2 linked regions of the Drosophila melanogaster genome follow. The protein of the gene in region 1 purifies or fractionates together with the protein of each later gene. This does not show direct contact. Each region holds a gene or a part of one and is shown on either strand. Other genes may lie near its edges.

Region 1 (16,346 bases):
TATTTTCTTATGAACCAAGCTCTTGTCTTTTTTGTGTTTTCCTTAGTTTTCTCAACATTTTGTTACATTTGCTTTGCCATTCATATTTCTTATTGCTTATTGTTGTTTCCAACAACAGCAGACACTTGTGAGCGGGGTGTGGCAGGCGGCGGGGGGTGGTGTTTCGGTTGGTGCGCCAGAGGGAGAGGCAAAACACAATGGCCACACTTTGACCCTGACTTTTAATGTGTACATTCGCCGTCTCACTCGCACCCTTCACCCGTCCCGCTTCTCTTATGCTAAATTATTGTTATTATTATGAATTGTGCTTCGTTGTTTGTGTTTGTGCTTGTGCTTGTGTTTGTATTTTTGTGGTGTTGTCTGCTAAACACTAAAGTATGATTAATTGACCTGCGGTGGCCGGCGCACTTTAGCACATATTTTCCCGGTCTCAGTACTCCCCGTCTCCCCGTCTCCACGCCTCCCAATCCCCTCTACCACAAGGTATCCATATGATTTTCCCAAGGGGCATATATATACATATGTACATACATGTATTGTAGGTTCAACATCATTAGTAGTTTACTGCTATTAGCAGTTTAATTTGCATAACTAAATTGGCCTTTATCAATTATGTACATATATTACTATATTTAATATATATACCTAGTTTTATTAATGTAAATTTTTCAAGACAATTAAGCTAAACATAGCTATATTTAAAATGAAAATAAAGTTCATTGGTTTACATTTGATAAATAACTCTTTTATTTACATTTTTTGGAAATTTATCTACAATTTCTCTTTTCTCCAAACGTGGTTTTTAATACATTTTTTTTAGCATTCTAGATGCTATTTTAATATATAAACTATACACATGGCTAATTCCCGTTTTTTGTTTTGTTTAATAGAGCCAAGAATCACGTTTAAAAAGTGCAACAGTTTAGTCATTCAAATCGTCATCGTCTCAGCCCAAAAGTATGCTACTAATTAGTTTGAACTAAAAATTGGCAAAAATAAACAAAAAAAAACTTATTGTCGGTTCTAAATTCAAACTAAATCAATTTAAAAATTGGCTAGGGAACGAATGCAGATTTCTTCTAAACGTTGCTCAAAATCAACACAAAGTCAAAAGAATAACTGTTTTGAGCAGCTAATTACCAATGCTAACAATCCCTATCACCTTTTCAAGGATTTAGAAAAATTTATTTTTTGACCAATTTTTGCATATTTTGGTAAGGTAAATTTACAAAAAATGGCAAAAAAATAGAAATACAATTTTTGGACACAGTTGAATTGGAAATTTAATTACGAGCTCGACGAGATATGGCATTCCATACTCAGACAATTATTTTTAAAGTTGCGTCCAAGAAAGGGAATGTTTTTACTCCAAAAATGGAGAAACATTCAATCACATTTACGTGTAATCCATGCTATATTTCTTTTATATTTATAAAAAATTCAGCTCAAAGTGCGTAACATTTAAAATGTAATTTTTATTTTTTGTTATTTCGAGTTCGTAACCTGTCAAGAACGTGGTACAACAAGTTGAAGTCATGCTTTCCTAATACTAATAAAAAAATGTTTGGTTTCAAAAAAAAAAAAATAGGAGAAAGAAGAATTAACAAAGTATGTGATCTGATGATGACCTTTATGGGATCCCTGGATGATCGCCGAACGGCAATGATCAGGGAAGGATTCTCTATATATGGCCTCCTGGTTGATATCCAATGCTGATATCTCCCACCATAAGCTATGATAACCAGCAACTAAGCATTTCGCACGCCGCGCAACTCCTTGTCGGCCTTCTTGAGAGTGATAAAGTTGTTGAGCGCCTTGACACGCAATTTCGACCAGACCATGAAGTTGCCCAGCCCCAGAATGGTGGCCGCATGCAGAGCAGCTGCCTCTGGATAGAGAACTGTGGCACAGCCCAGCCCCGATGGCAGATTCAAGCTGGACCACACGTCCACCTGCATGTTGTCCGATTTGACGGGCGGACAATTGATTACCGGATAGTTGGTGCTGCCGGAAACGACTGGACCCAGTCCATTGGATCGCCCGGCGACGGCCACAAAGATCAAGTTGCTCATCACCGATTCATATTCGCGGACAATGCGCAACGTTTCCTCCGGTCCCTTGTGGGCCGAACTCACGCGAAGTTCCACATTAAGGCCGAGGGATCGACAGCTGGTGGCTATCTTCTCGCTGTGCGATATATCGGAAGCACTGCCCATCAGAATGACAACCAGGTGATCCTTCTTGGGCACAATATCAGCCAGTTGTTCGGCCACCCAAATGAAGTTCCTCTTTACGGTATCCAAATCGCTGGCCGTCACCGATGCCAGATTGCGATACACCTGCTTGTCGACCATCAAACGCTTGTCACCCGCTGGCCACAAGCGCCACGAATCGGAATCAATGATATCGGCCAGAACTATGTTGCCATCGTCGCAGATACCGAACTCCACTTTCATGTCGATCAGGGCGCAATTCTTGGTCTGCCATGCCCTCTCGAGAATCTCGAAGACCAGCAGTGTGGTTCTACGCATAATGTCCACCTCATCTTGGCCTAAAGAAAAACATGTTGCCAGTTTTAGATTTGTATATGTAAAAGTGCTTTATGCCGCAAGTACCCACCGATCACCAGGCCATTTAGCTCGAACTTGGCGGAGACAATTTGCTCCTCGCTCCACTGGGGATCGTGGTTGGCATCATCCTTGAAGAACGTCTCCTGTTTGGGCGGCGAGAACCTGCGCAATGCAAATGTAATTGTAGTAATAAGGCAGCAAATTGAGGCAAATAGATGAATAAATTAAATATCAAGTGACATTTGTATTACTTCTAGTATAATATATATTCTACAGTAACTCAAAGAGGCGAACTTGTTGGCAATCAAAGCCATAAAAAAGAGCTATTGCCTTGGTATGACGACATCAAATGAAACGAATTTACACATAGCATCTCAGCAGCATTGCCCTGGCGAAAATCTTGACTTGAATTACAGATTTCGTGGGCTTTGAGTTCACAAACGATCAATCTTATCAGCGATTGTTGACCCTGCTGCAGTGCATCGATTGCATTTGAATTTGTTTACCGCAAGCGGACACAGATAACACACAGATCGCAACAAATCGAATGGGGTGATAACCCACAGCCAGCCATTGGCTGTTTACCAACCTGTAGCCCTCGGGCACGCCGACATTGCGCTTGAGGAACGAACCGGTGGCCAGGCGACGGGTCACCCACTCAATGGGTATCATCTGGCACTTGCGGGCGATGAAGGCCTTGGCGCCGCACTGCTTCACATAGGCGGTGCGAATGCCTGTCGAATAAGAAGCATTAATTAATTAATTAATTGATCAATTTGGTTAGAAATTGACTAAAATGCATTATAGTTGATTTGACTTATATGGTTTAGCAACTCACCTGCCTCGTTGAGCAGCCGGAAGACCTGACCGTTGGTGGTATTGGAGATCTCCGCCTTGCCGGCCAGATCATGTGCTTTGACACCATCGCCGGCGGTGATGCGATCCTTGCTGAGGAGCAGGCAAAGTCCTGGCTGCTCTGGCAGATCGTACACCTGTTTGGTTTTGCCCTCGATGATGACCTTGCCGAGCTTATAGCCCTCTACTGTGGAAATTCAAGTTGCAGTTGCATTCGTTACGTTCGGTGTTTAGTTAGTATTTAGAATCGATGCTATATGATATATGATGATACTGATTTAAGGAATGGAAAGACAACTTGTTTACGAAATCCACAATTATCTTGATTTAAACAATGGAAAGCCAGCCTTCTTGTTTACAGCAGACAGCTCAATAAACAGCATTAAAATATTATCAGAACCAGGAAAATATTCCGTTGTTTTATTTTTTTGAGTAACCCGAATAACTGTTTAAATAAATCCAAGGCTGGCGGGAAAACATAAACAACTGTCTTGCTTTCCATCACATTAAGCTTGTCTTTTATTGATGAAAGATCGAATAAAAGATGGTAGCTTTGGTACTATTTACGTTCTAGGCACAACAATTGTTTATTTGGAAACCTTGGCGATGGATAAACTTACTGGATGCTGTTGTGGTGGTGGACATCTCGTTAATCGCACGTTGTTGGTCACTTCACTTTAAGAATCGAAATTGAAATCAATTGGCTGCTGGCTGTTTCACGTGTTGCGGGCTTTGCTTTATGCTCGATATTCGCTGGTGCCTTCCCTCTCGCTCTCGCTCTCTATCTCTCTCTCTGTCTTTTTCGCTCTCTCCGCTTGGCTCTATTATTACAATCCGCAAACTCCGATGTTCGTCTGCATCAAAGAATCGCTCCAAAGCAACTGAGCGTCTATAGAATCGCCGGCGCGACTTTATGGCTCGATTTTCTTATCGCCGAACCCCAACACCAATGCAAAGAGATCCATGTGTTTGCGCTCGCGTGTGTGTGCTTGCGTGTGGGTGTGTGTGTGGGCTTAGAGTCGAGTATAATGCTGATTGGTAATACCCTGCAGTTTCCCAAATGGCCGATGAACACCGCGCGGGGCAACTTATGTACTTATGTACATACATACATATGTACATTTTTTGGCAATCTATAAAGCTTTGCTTATGCGTGACAAATTTTATTGTCGCATTTTATTTACAAATTTTGTTTCTAAAATATTTTCTATTCATTTGGTGACTTTCTGAATTTTGAATTTTTCTTGATTTTTGTCCATTCTCCAACTCCTGACATCCACCTCGTCCTGCCTAACATGCTCATCCTGTGATCCTGATCTCTGTCTTTGTCTCTGTCTCTATCTCTCCAGTAGGTAGCCTCTTTATCGTCTTGTTGGCTGAACTGCTCTTTTTGGTGATTGTATGTGTGTATGAAACTTTTCCTTGAGGGAAAAAACGTATATTTCTGGTGAACCCATCTCCGCCGTGTCAATTTGCTCCTCCTAGTGTTCCAAAGCATTGCGTTGCGATCGTCTTCAGTTCAGTTGTTTTGTAGAAAATATATGTATTTTCACTTCTCTCACAAGTGGTTTATTTGAGTGTATTCCTTCTCCTCGGCGGTTTTCTGTCTTTTGAACAAACCAACGTAGTTTTATGCTCCTCTTTAGAATTCTCCTCCTCGCTATCCTCCTCATCCATCACCAGTTGGCCATTTAATGTCGGAAACTTAATGACCGGCAAAATTTTGCGCTGCTGATTGCTTTCATTCATAAGCTTCTTGATGAGATTAGCGATATCCTCACGCTTCTTGGTTACTGTGAGCAGGTCAAACCAATTGCTCAGCTCCTTAATGGGCAGTGTATAGTCGTTGATGGGTTTTGTGAAGAATTGCTCCACATATTGCAGCAGATAGAGGCCGCAATCTGTAAGATTCTGCTGTTGCGGCACCTCCACACTATGACCGGGCATATTATCCTTGTTAAAGACATGCGCCAGCGCATTCGGATACTTGGCCTTGTGCTCACAGGTGAGATAATCCCGCAATATGGCAATCGCTCGATGTCTTGAGGTGACTGCCAACGAATCGAAAATAAGTATCAACGGCTGTTTGATGGGAATATCATCACTGAGTGTCGTCTGCACATTATTATTGTTTACCACCGGGCTTCTAAGGTTTGGATAACATATAATGGCCAGTATCCAATGGGACTGCTCATTGAATGGTATTATAATGAAGTCCTTGTCGAATATATTGACGTTTCGTGTCCACTTCTCAACCCTTTCGTGACGCTTCTGGGCCGCCGTCTGCTTCGTATTTCTGGGATTCGTTCGTGTGGTCAATCTTTTGTGGAAAAACGTGCTAAAGATATGCGTCCTATCGCGCTGTTCCTCTGGTATGATGTTATTCTTTAGCCAGCGCAGATAAAAATCAATGATTATATCGTTCAGATACGATCCTTTACTGAGACACATAAAGTCCTTGATGGTGATGCTCAGGCCACCGGTACCAGTTGGCGGATATGTGAAAAGGGTTTGATTCTCATCGGGTGAAAGTCTTCTCTCGGTTTGGCCATCATCGGCGGCGGTGGTCTCCTCATCACCGCTGCTCACCAGCACCACGGCATCTTCATCAACGTCCCTGCTTAGTATCCAATTGCGATTTCGGCGCAGGCGACTACGCTCTGCGCGTTCTGCTGGTGTGGGTATAGCAGCGTCGCTAGTTGCTTTCACCGCTGGCGAGGATATGGATGCAACATTCGATTGCACCCGCGATTGAGATCCACCAGCTGTCTCTTCCGATTTCTTGCTAACAGCGGCATTGTTCCTCGACTGGATCCACTGGGAGATTGCGGGAGCATCTTCAGCTGGTTGCACGCCCCGAAGACCATTACTCGTCATTGTAGAATTGGAGGTTATAGCCGTGGAGTTGTGACTTCCCTGTTTATTGCCAGATGAACTAGGGTTGTCATGAGAACTAGCAGCTTGAATTCCATTGTTATCCTTTGCAATATGGCACTTCTTCTGTTTCTTGGCCTTGGTATTAGTATTGGCGTCTTGATCCGCCGACAATATCACTTGGCCATCATTGTTTTCTCCCGGACTCCCGCAAGGACTTTTCTTGTGCTTCTTGCCTTTGGTTGCACTTGCAGCTGGCTGGCAACCATTGTTGGCCACCGCAGTCTCTGATGGTTTGACAACCGCAGGGGAGTGCTCTTCACCGGCCATCGCATTGGGTGGAGCGGCATCAGCCGATGATGCCTTTGACTGATGCACCTTCCTATAGAACTCCTCCGCATGGGCAACCGTCTCGGCAATGTTATCACTGATGGGGAAGCCCACAGAGACAACCAAATGGATAATACCGCCGGCATTCTCAATGCAATCAATCGTGGTGCTCTCATCGATCTGAAGGTCCATTTGGAAAAACAGATCCTGCACCCTACACGCAAGATTCGGCAGCTTGAAGGTGACGATGTGCTGCTTTCCACTGCTGTAGATAATCAACATCCTGGCACTTCCTTTGTCCGGATCCGTGTCGGCTCGATTGATCAGCAATTGACGTGAGACTAATATAAAGTCATTATGGGCAATTCGACGTACCGCTTGGTCCTTCGAAACAGTTTCTTTGCGATCCATTTTGGAGCCGGATTCAATAGTATAACATATGTACGTTATATGGGCTGATCTGACTGAACTGAAGTTTCTCGTTTCGATTGCAAATTCTCGGGCTGCTTGATGTGCAAAGTTAACTGGATGGTTGAAGAGTCACCTAACACGGTGACTTTGATCACTATATTCCTTTCATTTTCCAATCTGTGTGTTTTATGCGATATTTGATATCTGTCTATTTTTATTGTTGGGGTAAACGGCGTCCCAAGTGCTGTATCCAAAAATCATCTGTGCGAGTTGCTATCGCCATCGGAGTTTTGCTGCTCATATCGATACATATGTATATGTTTCCAATTGGTATGGATTTTGTGGGGTGTTTTTAAAAATATGTATCGATAGTCCGCTTTGAAATTTGAATGTTGCGAATATTGAAATTAAATAATATTTGAACTGACGAAATATAGGCATTTAAGCGAATCTTAGCTAAGCTAAGTTCTTTGCTTTTCATTTACAAGTATTAGTATTCTTACATGTGGTATTTACAAAGTTATAAGTTCAGCCGTTTGTTGCAAGTTCTTTGTATGGGAATTTTTAAAAACCAAAAATTTATTCTCGTTTTAATTTCAACATTTTGCAAATACAAGTACAGACATTAATCAAATTATAGTTGTGCGTCCGTCATCGGGTCCACCTGTCCGATTTTTAGTCGTCAGCATTGAGCTCCTCTCACCACATGGATCGCTTGGCGGCGATAAGAAAATCAAATGTAAACAAAAATATTATTGTTTTTTTGTTTTTTGCCAAGAGCGTATTTATAAAAAAAAAAAAAAAACAACTGACAGACACACACACGTTTTCCTTTCCGCGGGCCAAAGGGCTCCATTTCGCAATTTGCATCGGTTGCCAAGTGCGGAAAAACGCATCTAAATCACAACGTTGTTAGCTGTCAGAAAGTTTGCCAAGTCGAATTCCTTAAATGTGAAGCAACTGGAAACTGGCTTTTGTTTTACATTTACAAATTTACTATTACTACTACTGTATATACTTTACTAAATAGTGTCATATCTGTGCTGGCTGCAGTAATATATTTTGCAAAATATATTTTTATTCGAATTGTTTTTTCTTATGCATATATTAATTATATATATTATTTAAAATATATTTAACATTTAAGCACGTGGAAAATGCATATGTAAATAATACAACAAGCCTGCTCTATTTTTAAATATCCAGCTGAGTACATCATATTTTTCGGGAAAAACTTATGCTATGTTTTCCGTTAGTTCTTTATTAAATTGAATTTTTCGTTGTAGTCATATAAACTTTTTTGTTTGCTCTAACCAAACCGTTCGCAGAGAAGATGTCATATTTAACTAACAGCTTTATTTTTTTTTTAAATACGCGGGACTTTAATATTTAATTCTCAATTAATTCTCGAAACGATGTTTTTAGTTCATGCTTTTTAGTTCCAAAGCTGAGACTCAAACCCAATGCCAGCTCCATGCAGCGCGGACGCACACACCGCTCGCTATCGATACCCAACAATTAGCCGTCTATCGATATTTGCAGACTATAATATTTTTATTTACACTTGTTGAAAAAGAAAGAACATTTATTTATTATTAAATTTAATTTTTTTGTAATTTAATATAAAACAAATATTAATATAATAAAATTAAAAAAAATAAGATATATTTTCAGATGCATAATCTTAAACTGGTATTGATAAACATAAGTTTGTCGGAAATCAATTGATCGGAAATTTTTTGGCCTCCACTACAAATTGAAAATGCATATACAATTTTAAGATTGCATGCTAATAACTGAAATTGAATAAATTTAAATTTGAAGAAATTCGTTTTCTGAGTCTTCGAATAGCGATGAAAAAAAAAAATAGACATCGATGTTTCGGAAAATCGATAAAAACATCGATGCATCGATGTTAGCTTCGATATTTCGGTACCGCTAGTTGCCACGAAAGTCGCTCGAACGCCGGTAACGGAAATTCTCAGCAAACGCAGCGCAACGTCGTTTTCGCGTCGCCGTCGACGTCGGCGTTGTGTCGTCGCCGCAGCAGCAGAAAATAAAAATAAAAGAGAAGAAAAAGAATCGAAATAACTGCATACGAAATAGATCGAAATAAAAAGTAGTCGCTTTTATTAAAATCCACAACAAACAAAAGCCGAAACGAAGAAAGTGAGCATTCATTTGTTGTTGGTGTGTCAAGCGAATTCCACACGCAGCCGCCAATTGTATTAAATTCGAATTGTTTAATTTAATTGTAAAGGTTTGTCCACAACAAAACGGAGCTGGCGAAAATTGCATTTATTTATGTTTAATTCGAGTGTTTTTGTGTGTGTGTGTGTGCTATGTGTTTTTGTGTGTCTTTAAGTTGATTTCTTTTGCTATTATCCTTGGCGTGTCTGTAGTTCTCTCTGCCACCCTCTCTTTTTGAACGCTCTCTTGGCGCAACCCCCTTTTACCGTTTTTTGCTTATTTTGTTTTGTGCCAGATGTGTTCGTAAGGGAACAACAATATTAACCCTTGATGGACCCAGTTTGCAAAATAGTAAATAATAAGTAAATTTTTTGACACAACGAAAAACTCTATAGTTCTTCCTATGCACTTGAAATACAAATGAACAGAAAACAAATTCATATTGTAAAATTGTCTTTTTATGCAAATGGAGTTAATTTTGGAGTTAATTTTGTGTTCTTATTTATTAATATAATATTTGAATTAAATTTAATGAAGAATTTTTTTTAATATCAATGGATGTCCTCGAACTAACATAACGCGCAAGTGTTAAGACTGAAAATGGAAATAGGGGCAGCGAACCGAATAAAGGAAATGGCAAACAAATAGACAATTTATTTAGCTGATTATATGCAGCATTCAAATCGGGATTCAATAGCATATCAATTGATAGTATCTCATTGATAGTATCTATTAAAACCCGTAGAAAAACACAATATGGTATGCTAAATTCCCATTCCTTCGTTTCTCCCCCGTTTTGTTTTGTTCCGTTTTTCGCCGCTGGGCGCAAATTTAAATTGATTTTTTCTCTTTCTTCTGGGCGGCTGCACATACAGCTGCGGTCAAGATATTAGCATTAGTTCAATTCTTTATCAATACCATATGCACTCTTTCACAAAACCTTATATTAGCAAATATTTCCTATTCACTTTTATTTTGGGTATGACATTTAAAAAGGGATCGTATTTTATGCAAGTTTTGCTTTTAACTTCAACTGCTTGCAATTTTTTTTTCCCCCTGAACTGTAGTATTCATCACTTGGTGCGCTTGTGACGTTGTGGTTTGTTGCACTCGCATAATTGTCATATTAATACGTGCATAAAAGAGTGAGCAATAAAAGTAGTGGAAGGAACAGGAGAAATGGCGTGCAACACAGCAATTGCCCATTTCCCCTTTCTCCCGCTTTATCAGCACTTAAAACACACTAGCCCAAAAACATAACAAAAGGACGGTGCTTGTAAAACTGTAAGAATTAGCCCTTTAACGCCAGTTCCATTGTTCTTTGTTCTGATTGCTAATAATTTGGTTTATAGTCTTCAAACTTTTACTACATTATTTATAAATATTAACAAATTTGCTCATTATTTATAAATATTAACAAATTTGCTCTTTTCAGCGCATCGATCGGAACAACAAGGATATCCACACACAAACCACACACCTAAAAGACTGTAATCTGCCTTAACCATAGGAAAGTCAGAGAAAGAAAAGCCGGAAGTCCCATACAGGATAGCAAATCGGGCGAAGATAGCAGAAGGCATCTGGATCCAGGATCTGAAACGGTTGAATCACTAAGCATAAACATAATCAAATGATCACCATGACTTCGTTTATCGAACTGCTGGGACTTTTCTTGCTGCTGATGCTGCCATTCCTCTATGAGACCAATCACATATTCCGATACTACTTCAAATTCCTGATGTACTACGGCATCGTGTCGTTCAACTCGATCATCCTCATCCCGGCATTCCTCACCAGACCATGCGATGTCCGCAATCTGCTGTAAGTAGTGCAAAATATTTTTATGCAAATATCATGAAACACTAAACCAATCTGATATAAGAATAATAATACCTTTAGTTATCAAGTACAAGTATAGCTCAGTTAGAAGAGAACTCCCATATCTGTTTATTGAGTTCAGCATGTTTTGATTTAGCACTAATGGGCTGCCCATCTATATATCAATAAAGCACTCGAGTGGCTGATTGCCAATCAACAAATTGTAGACTCATCGATTAGTAATACAATACACAAAAGTATTTGCTAAAGTGTTTTCCATTATGCCTAACTATAAAACATAAAACTATATCGTATTTTAGTTACGACTTCGTTATAATGCTTATTTGGCTTCAAGTCTTTTTCTTTATCAAATCAAACATGCTTTCCAATGGTGATGATATCACCACGTTAATTACAAATTACAAAGTGCAAAATGATGCACTTTATCATGCTTACGAGTAACCTTGACCCAAATAAATCTTAATGTCATTCACTCTAAAAATTTTAATGGAATGATTTAATAACATTTGTAGGGAGCACTTAACTTCAACACCCATGATACCCCTTTTAAATTGCTTGCAAACCCAAAATAATGCCAAATGTCTATTCACTTTATGATGATTTTCCCATGCAAATTAATGAGCTTAATGAAACAATTTTCATCACACATCACGCCACCACAAGACAATCAAATTGGTGGTAAATAATGCATTATATTGGCTTGACGGGCAAATGGAGTAATTGCGGTATCACCAACTTAATTTCAACCGAAATAAAATTGCCTTATCATTGAAGACCGCAGGTGGGGCGTCCTTTTCGAAACGGTCTCCTTGAGTTCCCAAGGCGAATGCCTCAATGACACATACATTTGGCCATCAATATTAACAAGGGCCCAACTGCGGAGGAGTGACTGCAGGTGTCCGCAATGCACTTCTGGCCAACTGGCCAACTGGCCAACTGTCACTCAAGGACCCAGAAAGTCCAAAAGCCACAAATTGTTGTACACTTGAAGAATGCGAAAGAATGGTATAGTTTTTGTGTATGCAAAAAGCACCTTAGACACCTTAGAACTAGTTACTTTAAATTTATTTAATTTATTTAATTCTGATCAATCAATTTAGTTTAATTATGATCATTGCCAAAGTTGCAACATTATCTAAACTTTTTAATCTCCAAATCTCACAAATAGTTTAATATACGCTTAAATAAGTTAAAAGATATAGATTTATTGCTTCATAAACTTATGTTTATGATGTTTGCGTTACCAATTCCGGTATCGGAAATTGAATTTGTGACGAATTTCTTGCCAATTTGCCGTCGCGATAAGGTTTTTTTTTTTTATGGCATCCTCGCTGGTATTTGTGGCCCATGGTTGTTACCTCTAATGTGGCTAGCTGAATTGAAACACTTGAGAACTATAAATGTTAAAAAAAATACATACAAACAACAAAATGCAATGGGTATCGTACAGTTCTGATGTCGTAAAATTCGTAATTATATTTTCTTAGTGATTTGTGTTAGTGATTTTAAGTGAGGCCAGTGCTGCCTAGGGTCGTCAGTCCAAGGACGAAATTTTCGAGGGGAATTGAAACGGACTGTTGGGTTCTCGAGTTACCAGTTGGCTATGACGCCAATCTGGGAAAAAAAAGGGGTACTCTGTGGCGAAAGGGAGCAGTTGCACGCAAGTGGAAAAGCCAGGGAAAACCGAATTGTGTCCCCAATGCGGTGGGTTTTTTTTTTCATTTTTTTTTTTTTTACCATTTTGGTATGTGGTTAGTGGCAGCTGGTAGCTGGTAGCATTGCTCGCCACCTCGGCGATTTTGCGCGACTCAAATAACCATTTGCATTAGACAACAATGAATATTTGATATCAGGGGTGGATTACTACAAGTCCAACGTAGTCGCACACACAAATACCACTCACCTAAATCAATTATGCCTCTTGCCAACTCAACTATTTTATGCAGTTTATCGATCCATTTTCGGAGGCGCGAAATGAACGACGAGAATTCCTAGTAAACAGTGTGCACCCTCCTAGGGGTATAATTTATACAATTCCCGAGCTGTAATTACATGTCATGACTAGCTGGATTTAGTTGTAGTTCAGGTGGAATGGTTATCATCCCGGCGACAAGGTAAAAATCAGAGCTACGCCTCGATGGCTGTCAACTTGATTAAATAATGTTGCACTCACAATTGGCCGGTGGATTTGTTATGGTATATGGATTTCAGAAAATGACCGATCCCTCTTGGGCTCCGTATAATATAATCTCTATCGAAGAAATCACTGATTACAATGTTACTAATATATTTTCGATTTCTTATTTCTTTGTTTGTAGATGGGCGAGCACCTGGTGCCACCGCGTTTCGACGTTGATTGGCCTGCGATGGGAGCTGCGCGGCAAGGAGCATTTGGCCAAGGACCAGGCCTGCATCATTGTGGCCAATCACCAAAGCTCGCTGGATGTGCTGGGTAAGCCTATAGGTTTCTCTATGCCCATCAATCCATCAATCAAACAGTGATGCCAACTAAATGAGACTTTTTTTTCTTTATGATACGCAGGCATGTTCAACATCTGGCATGTGATGAACAAGTGCACAGTGGTGGCCAAACGAGAGCTCTTCTACGCCTGGCCTTTTGGCTTGGCGGCATGGTTGGCTGGCCTAATCTTCATCGATCGTGTGCGCGGCGAGAAGGCGCGCGAAACGCTAAACGATGTTAACCGGCGCATCAAGAAGCAACGTATCAAACTGTGGGTTTTCCCGGAGGGAACGCGCCGCAATACGGGCGCACTGCATCCGTTCAAAAAGGGCGCCTTTCACATGGCCATCGATCAGCAGATACCCATTCTGCCGGTGGTCTTCTCCTCCTACTGCACATTCCTCAATGATAAGAAAAAGATTTTGAATTCGGGTCGCATTGTGATTACCACGCTGCCGCCGGTTAGCACCGAAGGACTAACCAAGGACGACATCGATGTGCTAATGGAGCGTGTCCGCTCCCAGATGATTGAAACGTTCAAGGTGACGTCTGCGGAGGCGTTGCATCGTTATAAGCCCATTAAAAAGGTTGGAATTCCAGCCGCCTCATCAGCATCAACATCATCTACGACAACAACAACATTGGCATCACCGGGAACTGCTGTCACTCCCGTTGCGGATGCGGCAGTGGCTGCCGCAGCTGCCGTGGCCAGTAGCAGTTCGGCATACGGTCAACCGCCGGGCTACGAAGCCGGAGCCGCAAAGGCCAGCTTGCTCAAGACACTTTAGGCTATGCAGCAATTCAATTCAATCCAAACACACACACACACACAGCCAGCCACACACACTCATATCCAAAAAATACGAAACACCTCATGGCGTAGCTGAAGTGTCACGTTTTGGGGGCTTTTAGTTGGACACGTTAACTGGCAATCAGCTTTATTTGGGCCTATTTGGGAATTCTATAGTCCACAGTTGTGCAATTATCGTACACGTGCAGTATTTGTTTTGATATTATTGTTTAAAGTCCAAACTATGTTTTGTCATCATTTTATTGCATACTTTTCGTAATTTATTTCTCTCAAAAATGACTTTATGTAAGAATATTTGTCATTAGAGTATTCATTTTGAGGCGTGTGAAAAATTAATAAGGCAATGATTGTTGAGTGCTTCGTGCCTCAAGATATGAACAAAGCAAAGACACTAGAATAATTCTAGTTATCATATTTTTTAATGAAATTTATGAAATTACAGTAGTTATAATAATTTCTATTGTACTTCCTTTAATTAATTAGTATATTTATTAAGTCATTTGACTTAAAATGATGTAACATTAACATTAAAAGTGTTTCAAAAAAAATATTTCGCTTTTAAAAAATTGTCAGATGAGAGACAAATTAGAATTAAACATAACAAATTTTAACAAACAAATTTAAAAAACTTTAAAATTATAATAGTCAGGGCGCGAATTTGTAAAAATTTTTTTATTTTATCATATTGCTAGGAAATTGGCCAAAAATACCCTAATATGTACAATGTAAATTCGTTTCTTCGATCAGAATTGATTTCGGCCCGAAAATCGTCTTCTAGCACAACACGCACACATATACGCGTTCTCGTCTCTTGTTTTTACTCACACAAGCAAGCAAATTCTATTTTTAGATTTCTTACGCTCTCAGCGGGAGTGAGCGGAAAGAGAGTAATTTTGGCCGTCAACAAAAAAGTGGCATCTTGTTATTCTAGTGTCTTTGGTTATACCCTGTTGAATGGAATCGATTGATTCAAAAGCAGAAGCGAAAGCTGCTGTCGATTTCAATTTTATTTAATTAACTGAAAAAAATAAGTTAAAAATTGCTGCTTACTTGTAAATACCAAATCCGTACCACTTTAAAACAACGAATTAAGAAAAGTATTACCACTTTAAATAATTTAGCAATATGAATTTTGATAGTGCGCTAGTCTTAACTGAAAAGGTCAAATCCCAAATAGGTCTATGTTAACACACTTTTTTCGAACATAAATCACCTGTGTTTGTTTGTGGAAGTCAACATGTGCATCATTTTGTAGATTTTACGCACTTGCATAATATTTTAGACACATCGAAATGTTAACGAAACAGTGTACTTGAAAAGCCAATTCCATGTTACGATTTCGGCTACAGTCCACGCAGCAAAACATCCACTCACTTTCAAATAGTTTGACTAATTCAGGCACCAAAAAAATGAGTATTAGGAGTAGCAATCACAAAACTGCGATCCTCGACTGTCAGACTTTAACTCTTTTGTAGGCAACACATACCAAAAAGCAACTAAAACAGCAAACCAAAAAACATTAACTCTATCCCTTACACGATGCAACAGGAAGAACAGAAGAACATGTCTAACTCGAAATGGCTTGGATTATTAGGGAATTGTTAAAATCCAAGCAATTTCGATTAGGTTTTTATCCGCCTAGATTATATGATAGTTGCATGTTATCATTTAATCCTGTTGCCGCGTGTACTTGTTAGATGATTACACCAAATGATATGTAATTAAAATTAAATAAATATCTAAACACATATTGTGAATGACGACTAATCTTGCAAACGACATTACATACTTTATGTAGGGCGAATTCTGGTTGATTTTTACAATCGACCACTTGACGAGCAGTTAAGCCAGTTCTTTTTTTTTTGTTTAAAACAATACGTATTTTATTTTTACAAGACATTCCCTAACTAGGTTAGGGTTCCCATTTAAAGGTATTTCCTTACTCGCTTACAATTGAATCCCGAAATGGATTCAATGTACTATTTATCTAATATCACCTCATGGC
Region 2 (14,760 bases), on another chromosome or scaffold:
TCAGCTGGTTATTTAATGGACTTCTGCATGTTTGTGGAGGTCGCCAAAGAGCACAATGAGAAATTTGTTGAGAACTTGGCCAGCTATGTGTATTTGAAGTCCAAGAATTGGGTCATCAAGAGCGGTATTAAGTTCGGCGGTGATTTTCGTAAGTTCTTAACTGAAGAGCTGCGAAATATATATACTAACTTTCCTTTTTTAGTTATCTACAAGCAAAGTCCTCGATTGTACCATGCCAGCTTTTTGGTCATTGTGCAAAAGCCTGGTGATACGGATCACTATCAATCAAAGAACTTGAAGGGTGTTCAACGCGTGGCAGAAACTTCTGATAAGGATGTGCTGCTCCTGACTGTCCAACCGCCTAAGAAGATAAGCTCTTCCAGGGATTTGCAGGAAGCCACAGTAACAGAGACTATTGTGCGGCGTTTTAATTACTTAACTTTTGTACAAAGCAAACAACAATAAGGAACTACTCAGGGACTCTACAACTTCTCCAGCCGGTGCTTCTTGGGTATGCCAGTGCTGCGATAGTCGGCGCGCTCCTGCAGATATATCTGCTTGCACTCCTCCTTGAAGGCTTCGTTCTGATACCACTGGGTGAGGCATTCCTTCAGGGCTGAGTTCTGTTTCCGACAGGTGGCCACCATCAGTATACTGCTGGCCTTGCAGCACTCCTGGAAGTCGGCCACCTCCTTTGAGCAGAACTCCGTCTTGGCACGATCGCGCATTATCTTGGGTATCAGCACTTCGCGCTCCACCTTGCGCAACCTAGTATCATTTGGATCGCCTAGCAAGGGCAGTGTCAGTTGGTGGTCATATTCGATTATTCTGAGGACTCACCCAGTCCATGGGGATTGTGGGGATCCACGGCTGGCTGTTGTTCAAGGCTCATATTGTGTTAAAAATACTATTTATTTTGTATAACAACTTTTAGAGTGACTGCCACCGGTGCGATGAAAAATACTAGGGATATAAAAATACCACGAGTATACTAAAATTAGATTCATTTTTAAGATATAAAATATAATTTTATAATTCGATTTCTTGAATATTGAAATTACTTAATGATCGTCTAGAACACAAAATTTGCCCGACTGATCGCTAATTCAATAATATATTTTTTTTTAAACCGATAAACCACCTTCGTGTATTAAATTAGCCAAGAATCCAGACGCATTTTATTACAAAACTGCATTTTAAATGCTTAAATCAAAACCTAACTAAGCGGCCAGGCTAGCAGCGCTGATTGGCTCCAAATCTCGCACACCATCCTTGTCCACGACGGCGACGGTGAAGTTCTTGAGGTTGACGACCAGGCGCTTCTGGATTTCGGCAATGCACTTCTTGAAGACGTCGTAGGCCTCCGCCTGGGTTATATTGGGGTGCCAGTATCGGTCATAGATGCTGGATGCGAAGATCGCACCATAGCCATGACCGGCGTAATTCACAGGCAGTGCATTGGCCAAATAGTCAATGAAGGTGAGCTCCGGACCCGCGTTGGGATCGTAGCTTTGGGGAGAAGAAACAGATTAGGCACGGAAAGCAAATGGATTGACTGATCTCATGATCCTTACCCGGCCACAAACATGAACACTTGGTAGGGCGTGCGACTGCGAAGATATTCGGCCAGATTCTTGCGAGTAAAATGAGCCGATTCACGTGGACTTAAATCGTAGCCATTGCGCATCTTGTACAACGCTATGTTCTTCGAAATGAATTCGGTAAATTGCTCCGTGTCGCCCGATTCGCCGACGGTTGAAATAAGCAGACTATCCGACACCTTGTGGATTTTGTTCTGATCTGCAATGGAAATTCAAGGAGACTAACGAAATGAGTCCCAAGCCGCCAAGAAAATGAGCACCATTTGGGCTTACCCTCTTTCATCACTATAATGGATCGGGCGTGGGTGGTGTCCGCCGCCAGCATCACGAAGTCAGGGCCCTTGATACCCAGTAGAGTCTCCATGTTGCAATTATATTTATACTTTCGGGGTTTTTTAACGAAAATTACAAGTTGTTTGTGAGTTGCCGAATGCGATGACAAGCAAGTTAAATGCAGAGTGGCCGTATGCTGGGCGGCTAAAAATACCGCTATTCTGAAAAGATACTAATAAATATAAGCTAACACATATTTATAATTTTATTTTATATTTATTATTTATCATTTTAAATTAACTTAATTATACTTAATTTTCAATTATACCTAATTGGTATGATATTCAAATCTTATAAGTTTACTTGCTTACTAAAATTAAAATTAAAATTATTTCAATGTTTCAACTTTGTCTAAATAAAAAAAAACTTTATTTTTAATAAACCCATTTTTGTTTCCTTTAATATGAATATGAATATTTACATATACATAAAAATTATGTTATATAAATTATAATTATAAATTAAATTATTAATAAAATTGAATATCTTAGTTATATATTATTTTTAATTTTAATCGCAGTTAATCAACACTTGTTGAGTGCCCGGTTATAACTTGGCCACACTGTTCCCTTGTTATCATTTCATTTCACAATTAGTTTACGGAATTCGAACTATTGAAACTAAGAGCCATGCAGGCACCACCTCCGGAACACTGTCCTGGCGTCGAGAGCGAGGAGGCGGGCAAGGGAAGTGCCTGTTCGGGCTGCCCCAACCAAGGACTCTGCAGCGATCCCAACAAGAAACTCGAAGATCCCGGCAAGGCTTTGGTGGTCGAATCCATGAAAGATGTCAAACACAAGCTGCTGATCCTGTCCGGGAAAGGCGGCGTTGGCAAGAGCACGGTAACCAGCTTGCTAACCCGCTATCTGGCCAGAAGTAATCCGGACAGTAACTTCGGCGTGCTTGATATCGACATTTGCGGTCCATCGCAACCGCGTTTGATGGGCGCCCTGGGGGAGAGTGTCCACCAGTCTGGGTACGGCTGGTCACCTGTGGGAATCGAAGACAACGTGTGTCTGATGTCCATCGGATTTCTTCTGGGCTCTGTGGACGATGCCATTATTTGGCGAGGACCCAAGAAGAATGGCATGATCAGGCAGTTTCTGAGCGAGGTGGACTGGGGAAATCTGGATCTCCTGCTACTGGACACACCACCTGGAACTTCCGATGAGCACCTGTCTGTGGTTTCGTACCTGAAAGACGACGCCAACCCGGAGTCCCTGCGCGCCGTGATGGTGACCACTCCACAGGAGGTGTCTCTGCTGGACGTGCGCAAGGAGATCAACTTTTGTAAAAAGCAAAATATCCCCATTGTGGGCGTGATCGAGAATATGAGCAGTTTCCGTTGCGGCCATTGTGGAAATAGCTCCGAAATCTTTCCAGCCAAAACCGGAGGAGCCGCTGCCATGTGCGCCGAAATGGGAATCCCGCTGTTGGGCTCCCTGCCTCTGGATCAACAGATATCCAAAGCCTGCGATTCTGGCGAGGATTTAACTGAGTTTAAGAATGTCACCACTGAGGCGCTGGAAGGAATTTGCTCAAAGATTATGGCCAGCTTTAGTTAAGAATAAGTTAAAGACCACTCAGTTTTTAAATAAAAAAAAAGATGCCTGTACAATTTTATGTAACATTTATTATTAAGCATTGAAAGGATAATACCAATTGGAAATACCGATTCACCTGAGGTCATCAAATTACGTCTCGGTCTTTACCAGAAATTAGATTACCAGGCAGTTTACAACATGCCCCTTTACAGGATAAGAAAACATTCTACAATATTGAAGTAGGTTGGAGTTAAACATTAAGTATGGCTGGGGAAGATGGCGGGCTTGCTAGGGACACATCCGTGGTTACTCTTCCCGTGGCATCTGACGGTTGAGCAGCAACCTCAGTGGCGGCCTGTTTCAGATTTTGCGCGAGTATTGTGTCCCTCACCGTACTTTCCAAGGGCGGCGCAAATGTGGTATCCCTCCCCAACTCACTAATCAAGCGGACTATTTGCTCTGACGGCGGCGATTGGCTCTTCTTCGTGGGGGTATCGTCTTGGTTCTCGGCAGCTATCGTGTTATCCCCCTCAATTGTTCCACCCACGTACTGGCTGTTAGCGACCACTGGCGACTGAGTGGGCAGCGTAGGCGGATAGTTCAGCATAGTGATGGAGTCCGTACAATCGCTGACCTTGTATATGCCCACCAGGAAGTTGGCCAGCTCAAACATGTTGACACGAAGTGAAACAATTATGAACTGAGCGTTTTTCGTACGTTCCTAAGTGAACACAACAACAATTGGCTTTAAAATGTGAATGTAAGGCAAGAAAGCAGAGAGGTATTTACCTTGATATAGTGACCCACTATAGACACATTCTTGAAATCCAGCGCCGCATCAATTTCATCCATGAAGTACAGCGGAGAGGGCTTGTAATAATGCAGGGCAAACACAAGTGCCAATGAGGAGAGAGTTTTCTCACCACCTGAGAGATTCGAGATGTATTTCCAGCTTTTCTTTGGCGGTCGCACAGTAAAATTTACGCCCTCGGTGAACGGATCCATGGAGTCCACCAGCTCCAGCTCAGCATCGCCGCCCAGTGTGATCATCTGGTACATTTCCTTCAGTTTTCTTGTTATAATGCTAAAGCCATCCATGAACTCCTTGTACCGTCGCTTGCGAACTTCTTCGTACTTGTCGCGCATCTCATTGCGCTTGGAGGTGATGTCCTCCAGCACACGGACGCGATCGAGGTAGACTAAGCGCTTCTCGTTGAACTCCTTTATGCAACTCAAGTTGGGCTTCTTTGTTTTCAGATCTTCCTCCAGCATAGTTTGCTTATATTGCAAGGCTTCCAGAGTCTCTGCCTCCAGCTCTTCTTCGTTGAGTTCTTTGAGTGGCGCTTGCGGTTCAGTCTCTCCTGGAATCTCGTTGAGCTTCAAAGGCGCCAGTTGAGCCTGCCATCCGGGAATGTCATTCTTCACCTTGTTCATTTTTCCCGCTGCAGCTTGCAGCTTAGTATCTATTTCAATGCGCTCGATATTTCGTTTGTTCTCCTCCTTGGTGATCTCATCTATTTCTTTTTTTATATCGGAGGATTGTGATTTGGCGCCCTCGATGGACGCTTCCGATTCCTCTATTTCCTTTTCCAACTCCTCCTTCTTTTCCTTAGCCTTATTTCGATCCTCATTCAACGATTTCAATTTTTCTTCTGCAGCTTTTATATTCTCACGGAGATTATTATTGTTTCCAGTGATTTTCGTTATATTTCGATCTGCTGTGGCCAAGCCCACATTCAAGGACCGCACATTGGCGGCCAGCTTTTCTATCTGGCTATTTACCTTCTTGATCTTGGCCTCCACAGGCTTGACACTTTCATTTCTAAGGGTATCGTATTGGTTCTGGATCTCTTCGATTTGGCTGGAGACAGCCTGTTCGGCGAATTGTGCTTGTTCCAGCTCTTGCTTCGCTGCTTCTATTTGCTCCTCCCGCTCCTTGACTGCCCTTTCGTCTGTTGTTTTCTTGAGCATTCGCTGCCGCTGCGCCTCGCATTGCTTCAGGTTGCTGGCCATCTGTTGTTCCAAAGAAGTGATGCTCACCGCCAGCCGCTTGTACTCCGCCTCGTCACGCTGCAAGCCATTCTTCAGGGTTTGAATCTCGCGCTCAAGACTGCCCTGCTGTTCCTGGCAATAATTGACTCGGGCCTGTAACTCCTCCGCCTGAATCTGCATGTCTTCTAACGCCTTCTGAGATATTTGCGAACTGTCAGCCGATTCTGCCGTCTTGGTGCGCACCTGGGTGCCCATTTTTCCGCGTATAGGACGACTGCCGCCACCAGACATGGTTCCCGTCATCTCGATCATCTCACCACGTAAGGTCACAACTCGGTAGCGTTCCCTGCCGTAGGCGATGCGGGTGCCCTGTTCTAGATCGTCACATACCAGTGTGTTCCGTAGGGCGAAATAGAAAGCGGTTCGTACGCGGTCATCTTCAACCTTAACCAGATCGTACAAACGAGGAACGTTTTCTGGTCTGCAATAGTACGTGAATGGTGTTAATAACCATTTCCATTCATTCTGTTACTATTACTTACGTATTTATCCTGGAGTTGGCCTCACGACGATGGTGCTCAATCTTGTCCAACGTAATAAAGGTGGCTCTGCCCACGTTGTACTCCTTTAAAGCGCCAATGGCCGCCGATGCGGTCTCATAGTTGTCCGTAACAATGTTGTCCAACCGCCCGCAGGCAGTCGAAATAGCAATGTCGTACTTGGCATCTATGCCACCCAAATCACCCAGGCGTCCTAGAATACCAGGGATCTTTCCCTCCATCTTCATACGCATGAGGAAGTCTAGGACCTTGTTATTGGATCGCTGAGCCTGCATGACGCTAGATCTTTCATTGATCTGCCGGAAAAGGTATTTATAAATAGAAGAACAGTATAGAATGTAAATAAATGAACCATACCTCTGTTCTTAGTTTGTTGCACTGCATGGATAGGTTGCGTTCCTCTTTAACCATTTTGTCCACTTCCGCGGACTTGCTGGCAATTTCGGTCTTCATCCGTGGAATGCTTTCTTTCAGCTCGTCCACCCTTGTTACTTTCTCCTCCAGACTTTTCTGCGACTGCTCGTACGAACTTTTTAGGGTTTCATATTTCCTAGACTCAGTGGTCTCTGCCTGTTTAAGGATCTTGAGCTGCGACTCGAACACTTGAACCTCTCCTTTAGCCGTGTTGACCTTCTCCTTAAGGCCCACCAGTTCGTCACTGAGCTTAAGGCGCTTCTCGGTAAGCGGTGCAGTGGTTTTAGTTAACTCGGCCTGCTGCTTTTCAAGCTCCTCATTCAGTGTCACCTTACTTACTTCCAGGCTCTCCAATTTCTTGTTGCAATCCTCGATCTCGCGCTGATTTTTCTCCGGCAACTTGTGCAGATCCTCCAGCTCTTTTTCGTTCTTTTCTATCTGGGCTTTGTCCTTCTTGCGCTGCTTGTTCGTGTTCTCCATTGTGCTCTGGATCTCTGTGTAGGCACTCTCAACAGTCACAAGTCTTTTCTTGATCTGTTCGCGCTTTTTCACTAGAGCTTCGTATTCTCTGAAATTACGTAATGTAATGTAATATATAGCTCAGTTTGAAGTTGAAGCTAGGTACTTACTCAATTTCCTTTCGGATGATTGTTTCCTTTTCGGCTCGTGATTGTTTCAGGGCAGCAGTGCCCTCGTCGTGGGTTTTTAGCTCTTCCGCACAGGCTTCATGCTCCTGGGTGTACTGCTCCAGCTTGCTCTTTTTGATGCTGATGATCTTTTGGATGTGGAAGGATTTGGTGCGCACCAGCTCATTCTCCTTCTTCAGATAGTCGACGGCCTCATTGAACGGTTGCTCCAGATCTTTCATCTCGCGCTCGGCCAGCTTGCAGCGGTTGTGCTTCTCTGTTCGGTCGTCTGTGAGTTGATCTACCCGTTGGTTTATCTGCTGCAGTGGGCGAATGTAGCGCTGTGTTCCGACAATATCCTCCAGGTATTCCAACATTCCAGTTTCATTTTCAGTCTGCCCTTTTGGCTTCATCATGGCAATGGACTCCACTTCGCCCTGCAGAATGAGGAAGCGATTGTGCTCCAGATCCACATGATGCTTCTTAAGCAGCTTAGCCACATCCTTGAGCTGCGCCCGTTTGTCGTTGATCTGGTAGTAGGAAGAGTTGTCCGACATGGCAGTGCGTTCGATAACAATGCTGGAGTCGGGCACGTCCTCGCATGTGCCGTCGCCCTTGTCTACGATCTGCTTGAAGTGGACGGCGACCGAGCAGCTGCGTAAATTGGGATAACTAGACGAGGAGTGGATCAAGGTGGAGACACGCTTGCAACGGATGCGATTGGCGCGGCAACCAAACACAAACATCATGGAGTCGATAACGTTGCTCTTGCCACTGCCATTGGGTCCAATGATGGCAGTGAAGCTCTGGTGGAAGGGACCCAATTCCACTTCGCCCGCATAGCTCTTGAAATTCCGATTTACAATTTTCGAGATGATCAGGCGCGGTCCGGTGCTCTCCATGGAGCAATGTGGCGGCACCGGAGGCGGTATGTATATGTCGCCGATCCGGGTGCCGCCCTCCTCGTCGTCGAAGATCAGTGCATCATCCAGCGCGTCCACGGCGGCGTCCTCCTCCTCCTGTTGTTGCTGCGCCCGCAATTGTTGCTGAGCAGTTAGCTGCGGTACGCGAAACTGGCCGCTCTGCCGGGCTCCGCCAGCTGCCTTGGGCGTGCCCTTGCTGGGACGCGCCTTCTGCATCGTGCGCTATTCTCAGTAAATTCTCCGTGTGGATTTATCCAGGAAAAATCCTCGAATTACAAAATCGCTTTTTCGGGCGCCAATGGTAATAGGACGCTATCAGCAGTGTGACCGTCTTGATGTGCCCGCAAAATACTGGCAAGGCCGTTAAATAAATCAGGCGAGTTGTCAGCTCTGTAGTTTGAATTTAAATTAAAAGTCGTTACATCGACGCTAAGAACAAATTTCAAATATTCTAAAACATATATGAAACTGATATTTGTAAATATAATATGAAATATTATTAATTAAATCACAATAAAACTCAACTAAGTAGTTTTTTCGATGAAGTTAGCAAAATAATGAAATACATTTATTTCATCGTAAAGTAAATGAATTTCATAATAAGCAAGCAAACTACTTAATTTCCAAAAAAGCCGTGTAATAGTTTGGAAATTATGAATAACTCAGCGCGCTCTGCGCTCCCCAAAAACATAAGCGAGACACCCACTGCGCGGAGCTTTCTCTCCGCTATCCGCAAGTCAGAGAAATGCCCAAATATATATAATGCCTTGGCTGCATCTCGCACGACTTTAGTCACAACTCGACTTTGGCTCGGTGCGGAACCATTTTCACTGGCGGTTTTTCCTTCGGTTTTCCGATCGCGCGCAAGATTAAAGCGCTCAAAGCAAGCAGCCAAACACAAACGCGAGTGGCAAAGTGGAAAGCAGGCTGAAAAATGCTCTGCCCGGGGGAAAATGCCTATAATGCAAATGGCCAAACGGGTTTCACAGTCAAGGTCGTCGCTTCCGCCCAGCGACGCTCGAAGCCACAACCAACAGCGCGAATTCCCAACGCCCACCGCTTACCCAGTTTGTGCATCTGGATGATGGTGGCGCTTATGATTATGTCGTCGTCGCTGGACGCCCTGGTCATTGGTAATTTTCTCCCCTTTTGTTCGCTTTTCGATTGGGTACGACTGAATTTATTTAGTTTTTGGCATGCTCATGCGCGCATGCGCACATTGGGTGTGAAAGTTGTCGATCGAATCGAAGGAGTTATATAACACGAAACGACCAGCCAAGTGGGGCCAAGTCGGGTTGTCCACATGCCCGCACCCGTCCCCAAAAAACAAAACAAAAAAAAAAAAAAACTAAAAAGAGCGTGTGCATTGAACCCCATGACAGTTGCTGAAATTTTCCTGACCCGCTGCCTTGGCCTCTCTGGCCGGCGGAGATGATAAATTTACTTTCTAAATGCTGCAAATGCCCAGCTGCCCCAGCTAGACATTCAGCTAGAGCTGCAGATTGAGATTCAGATGGAGATCGAGATGGAGATGGAGATATACACACACGGACTGTCAGTCAGTCGGTCTATCTACTATAGTCACACATATGTATGCACATATCTCCAATCTTGAGATCGCATCTTGCATTTGGCCAACACGCGTCGCTTGCCCAACCGCCTGAGTTACGATATGGTGCGGCACGGCTACGGGCCATTGCTGCCGATCCATGATGCAAACGCATTTCAACCCGTCCGCCGCAATGTGGCACATGGCTGGGACGCATTTCCAAGTGGGTGGAGCTGGCGTTAGTTTCAGAAAGACCTATTACACAAGTGATTTGAAAAAGTTCAACAATTTACTATACTTATCTCAAAGGTGCTCCATAGTTTACACTCAATTCTAGCAATATTTATCCAATATTTTCAATATTCATAATCATTTCCAAGTTTGCCAGTGCATATAAATTGGAAAAATATTTTTAAATGGCAAGTCAACATAATTTTGAGTGCTAGTTTAGTGCCAGCTGTACTTCGTGACTAGTTGTCTTACTATTGTTTCCATCACGTTTAAATCACGGCGGAAGATCATCTAAGATCACATTATGGTTAATATAATGTTAATTGAGGCCTCGAGCCAATCAAAAAGGTCATCGAAGTCCAACGGTCCTCGGAATTCAGGCACTTCTAAGCGAGCAAGTGGCCTACACACATTCATATATACATATATTTCCTTGAAGTTTGTCCAACTTTTCGTTTCAATTGAAGTAGCGACGTGGGTTTTTTTTTTGTTTTTTGTCGTCTTGCTCCGTAATAGTTGACTACTATTGGCAACTATGCGCACCACCCATTTCAGTGCGTGATTGGTATCCAGCTGGAAAAAAGCAAAAATATTTCTGCAAGCGGCTAATTTTGGGCTGACGTGAGCGGTTTCGTTTTTGGGTCAATGCATTAATCAGTAATCAGTCTCCTTGTTAATTACACACGGCTATCTCACACCCAGTTTCTTTTTTTGTGTGCCTGCTTTGCAGACAATGATGGAATAGTCGGCAACCAAACTCGGCATCGTCGCTCGACCTCCGGCGCAGCCAGTTGCATGCAAGATGCACGCTTCTACCGCAACCCCAACAGGCCGGTCCACAAGATCTGGACGAACAGCGAGTGCGCCAAGTATTTCCTCTGCCTCGACGGTGAGGTGTTCGAATTCAAGTGCTCCGAGGGATTGCTCTTCGATGTGGTGCGTCAGATCTGCGACTTCAAGGCGAATGTGGACAATTGCGATGTCAGCGCGGAGACGCCGGCTCCAAAACCACTACTGGAGATGGCCGACTGTGCGGATGAATACCAGTTGGGCTGCGCCGATGGTACCTGCCTGCCGCAGGAGTACTTCTGCGATGGTTCGGTAGACTGTCCCGACGGCTCCGACGAAGGCTGGTGCGATGTGGAGCACGATCCGAATGCGGCTGGTGCCTGTGATCCGCGAAAGTGCCATTTGCCGCAGTGCTTCTGCTCGAAGGATGGCACCCAGATACCCGGCAGTCTTCCGGCACAGAGTGTTCCGCAGATGATACTGTTGACCTTCGACGATGCCATCAATCACGATAACTGGGAGCTGTTCTCCAAGGTTTTGTTCACACAGCACAGGCGAAACCCCAACGGGTGTCCCATTAAGGGCACATTCTACGTTTCACATCCGTTTACCAACTATCAGTATGTGCAGAAGCTTTGGAACGATGGTCACGAGATCGCAGTGCACTCAGTAACGTAAGTTGTTGATCAGCCTGTAAATTATTTAAAATTGAAATTTCACTTTTATTGATTAAAGGCATCGTGGCCCAGAGATGTGGTGGTCCAAGAATGCCACAATTGAGGATTGGTTCGATGAGATGGTTGGCCAGGCGAATATAATCAATAAGTTCGCAGCGGTACGAATGGAGGAGATTCGTGGCATGAGAGTACCCTTTCTGCGCGTCGGCTGGAATCGACAGTTTCTCATGATGAAGGAGTTTGGCTTCGTGTACGATTCATCCATGGTTGCGCCGCATTCGAATCCTCCTCTGTGGCCCTACACCTTGGACTACAAGATGCCGCACAGCTGCACGGGCGTAAATCAGAATTGCCCGTCTAGGAGTTATCCGGGCATTTGGGAGCTGGTTATGAACCAACTGGAAGTGGGCGAGTATATGTGCGGCATGGTGGACACGTGTCCGCCGCATTTGAGCGGCGAGGATGTGTACAGAATGCTCACGCACAACTTCAAGAGGCACTACCTCAGCAATAGGGCACCATTTGGCCTGTATTTCCATTCGACTTGGTTCAAGAAAGTCGACTATCTGAATGCATTTCTGGTGAATATTCGAATTGTTACCCATAATACTAGATCTTCATTCCTTCCTGATCATTTAGAAATTCCTCGACGATCTGCAAAAGCTGCCGGATGTGTTCTTCGTGACTAACCAGCAGGCGATTCAGTGGATGCGCCATCCCACGCCCAGCAACCAGCTGCACCAATTCGAGTCCTGGCACTGCCAACCGAAGGACTTGGATCCCCACGAGCAGGTCTGCAACACGCCGAATGTGTGCAAGGTGCGTAGTCGGGTGCTGCAAGAGGATCGATTCTTCTACACTTGCATGGAGTGTCCTGCCCAGTATCCCTGGATTCGCAACGAGTTCGGCTTGGACTAAGGTGATAGCCCGCTTGACACTATAGGGCTCTGCGCAAGGCGCTTTGATATATCCATAATGTTTGGAGCGTTCCATAAGTAATTGGATAAGATTGATACAATTTTAGGTTTTAATTGTTTAGAAAAATTAATATTTATAAATTGGATTACGCATATTTAGATGATTCAGCTTTCAAAATCTGACCGTAAGCAAACCCGTAGATAACTTCGTAACATACCTGAAGAGGATAAAGTGCATTAATTTAAAATCGGAACACTCTGAATTTTATGGAGAAGCTTAAACAATTTCGCGGGCTCATAAACGTGGTACTTTGCGGCCTGATTAGATTTTAAGAACTAATTTATACGTATGTATGTCTCCGCTAAATATATTTAAACCGATTTCCAAAAGAGCTTTGTACTTAGTCTACATTCTGGAACGCATCCCAGCCACAAAACCTTGGACTATTGCGTTATAAACGGATTGGCGATGCTCTCGACTCCGTCTTGCGGACAAATGAGGACGAGGGCTGTGCCGCGACAGACGACCAGTCCCAGGCTGCGGGTCTGCTCCTCGGTCAGTTTGTAGGGCTCATCCGAGTCGCGCAGATACTCCACCGTGTTGTCCAGCACCAGATTGAGCAGCGCATCGTAGCCCTTGAGGATTCCGGATGCCTCGCGGCCGCCCGCGAATTTCACGCGGATCTGTTTCTCCAAGTACTTGGAGAGGTCCAGAATGGACTCCTTGCGGCGCTTCTCCTTACCGTCATTGTTGCCACCCACCTGACAAGTCACGATTTTGATGATTAAGCACCACAATGTAGTTATTCTATTTAATTTACCTTTTTATCTGCCATTATTCTGTTTTTGGTAAATGCCGGCTGGTAAAGAGTGACCAAAGCATATTTTTTTAGAAATACACCAAATAAGGCGCTACTAGCCAGCAGATGGCGCTGGTGAAGTAATCTTATGGGCCGCGCTTTTTGAGGTACATAATCGATAATAATGGAATAAACATATGTAAGAATTAATGTTATTTGAAAAATATGACAACAAAGTTCTCTTATTTCTACTGTCATCATTGTGAAATTATTTTCTTACCTTTTGCTATTGAGGCGAACATATCAATTTATTTGTATAATAATTATTATATTGGTTTAAGATATCGATAAGATTCATTTATTTGTATCGATATGCTGGTCACTCTGACTGGCTCTCCATTTTGTTTTCCACGACAGAGCAATTTTTAGTACAACAGATTGTTATCTTCTACCAATTACCGGATCGATTTTGTACATTTAAGTGTTTTAAAGCCACCTTAGGATCATGGGACGCAAGAAGAAGAAGGCCTCCAAACCCTGGTGCTGGTATCCTTTTCGCAAAACAAAGATATAAATATTTTTTCACTGCATGTGCCGCTCGCTGTATCTGCACATACACACACATTTATATAATGGTATTGGGTTGGGGGTAGATACACACACACATGTATATGCATACTGGCTACAACGCCGCATCCCCGTGAATTTTCCTTAACTCTTAACGCAAAAAACTAGGTACTGCAACCGTGAGTTCGATGACGAAAAGATCCTTGTGCAGCACCAGAAGGCCAAGCACTTCAAATGCCACATCTGCCACAAGAAGTTGTACACCGGACCCGGACTATCCATACACTGCATGCAGGTGCACAAGGAAACGGTGGACAAGGTCCCCAACTCGCTGCCCAATCGCTCAAATATTGAAGTCGAAATCTTTGGCATGGACGGCATTCCCGCCGAGGATCTCAGGGATCACGAACGTCAGAAGAATGGTGGCAAGTCTGATTCGGACGATGATGAACCGGTGGCCAAAAAGAAAGTAGAATGTAAGTGATCAGCAAACTGTATTGTATACAAAATCGCTATACAACATTCATTGCAGATGCCATGAGTGTACCGCCGCCTATGATGATGCCCCCGAACATGATGCCACCGCACATGCTGGGGCAGTACGGCATGGGCATGATGCAGCACATGCCGCCACTGCCTCCGTATCCAGTGCCCATGATGCCGCACATGATGCCTCCGCGTCCTTTGTTTCCAGCCGCCATGGCCACAACATCGGCGGCAGCTGCTGCGGCGGCGGCCCATCATCACCACGCCGCCGCCATGGCTCAACAAAAGCCAACATTTCCAGCGTACAGGTTAGCATCGTTAGGGGAAGACCATATAAGAATCCTTCCAATTTTTTTTTCTAAAGCTAGCAGTTAGACGTAGAGCCCTGTTAATAATCTTTTTTTTTTAAACGATTCGTATGTAAATTCAGTTTTGGGGGTATTTTAGGTGAAATACTTTCTACTCCAAATAATTGTTCACATTGGCACATTTTTAATGGTTTTCCCCTATTAAACATAGTTGTGAAGCAAGTCAAATGACTTATTATTAGGCTTAATCCTAAGAATTTGTTTTTAACTAACGTAAATCAATTATTTCTTCTTTTTGCTAAAGTAATGCTACCATAAGTGCTCCGCCTACCACCAATCATGCTGGTGGCGCATCCAGCGCACCACCAAGTGGTCCGCCAGATGCTCAGCAACACCAGCAGCGACCTCCAGCTCCACCGGCGGCAAGCGGAACTTCCGCTGCT

What was found.
Region 2: the proteins of Agpat1 (region 1) and Prosbeta4 purify together in Drosophila melanogaster (affinity purification with mass spectrometry, with the first as the bait; one large-scale study listed by BioGRID). This does not show direct contact.

Annotation. Positions count from the first base shown.
Region 1 is NC_004354.4:12,756,304-12,772,649, forward strand, and holds the start of Agpat1 (1-Acylglycerol-3-phosphate O-acyltransferase 1), read left to right. Parts: upstream 1-8,962; 5' UTR 8,963-9,300; intron 9,301-10,266; exon of another isoform or gene 10,267-10,375; intron 10,376-10,665; 5' UTR 10,666-10,860; coding exon 10,861-11,051; intron 11,052-13,387; coding exon 13,388-13,521; intron 13,522-13,611; coding exon 13,612-14,318; 3' UTR 14,319-16,346. Other genes in the region: PAICS bifunctional enzyme, read right to left, coding at 1,749-2,551, 2,620-2,732, 3,160-3,304, 3,409-3,612, 4,046-4,070; pira (pirate), read right to left, coding at 4,995-7,040.
Region 2 is NT_033779.5:16,730,069-16,744,828, forward strand, and holds Prosbeta4 (proteasome beta4 subunit), read right to left. Parts: upstream 2,066-14,760; 5' UTR 1,966-2,065; coding exon 1,875-1,965; intron 1,801-1,874; coding exon 1,575-1,800; intron 1,510-1,574; coding exon 1,221-1,509; 3' UTR 1,112-1,220; downstream 1-1,111. Other genes in the region: Tsen2 (tRNA splicing endonuclease subunit 2), read left to right, coding at 1-148, 203-465; CG17996 (uncharacterized protein), read right to left, coding at 483-787, 841-892; Nubp1 (NUBP iron-sulfur cluster assembly factor 1), read left to right, coding at 2,564-3,499; glu (gluon), read right to left, coding at 3,729-4,199, 4,268-5,951, 6,013-6,326, 6,388-7,012, 7,074-8,209; ChLD3 (chitin and LDLR binding deacetylase 3), read left to right, coding at 8,928-9,126, 10,504-11,236, 11,298-11,820, 11,879-12,157; LSm7 (uncharacterized protein), read right to left, coding at 12,601-12,918, 12,978-12,992; BuGZ (Bub3 interacting GLEBS and zinc finger domain protein), read left to right, coding at 13,462-13,496, 13,692-13,999, 14,056-14,317, 14,622-14,760.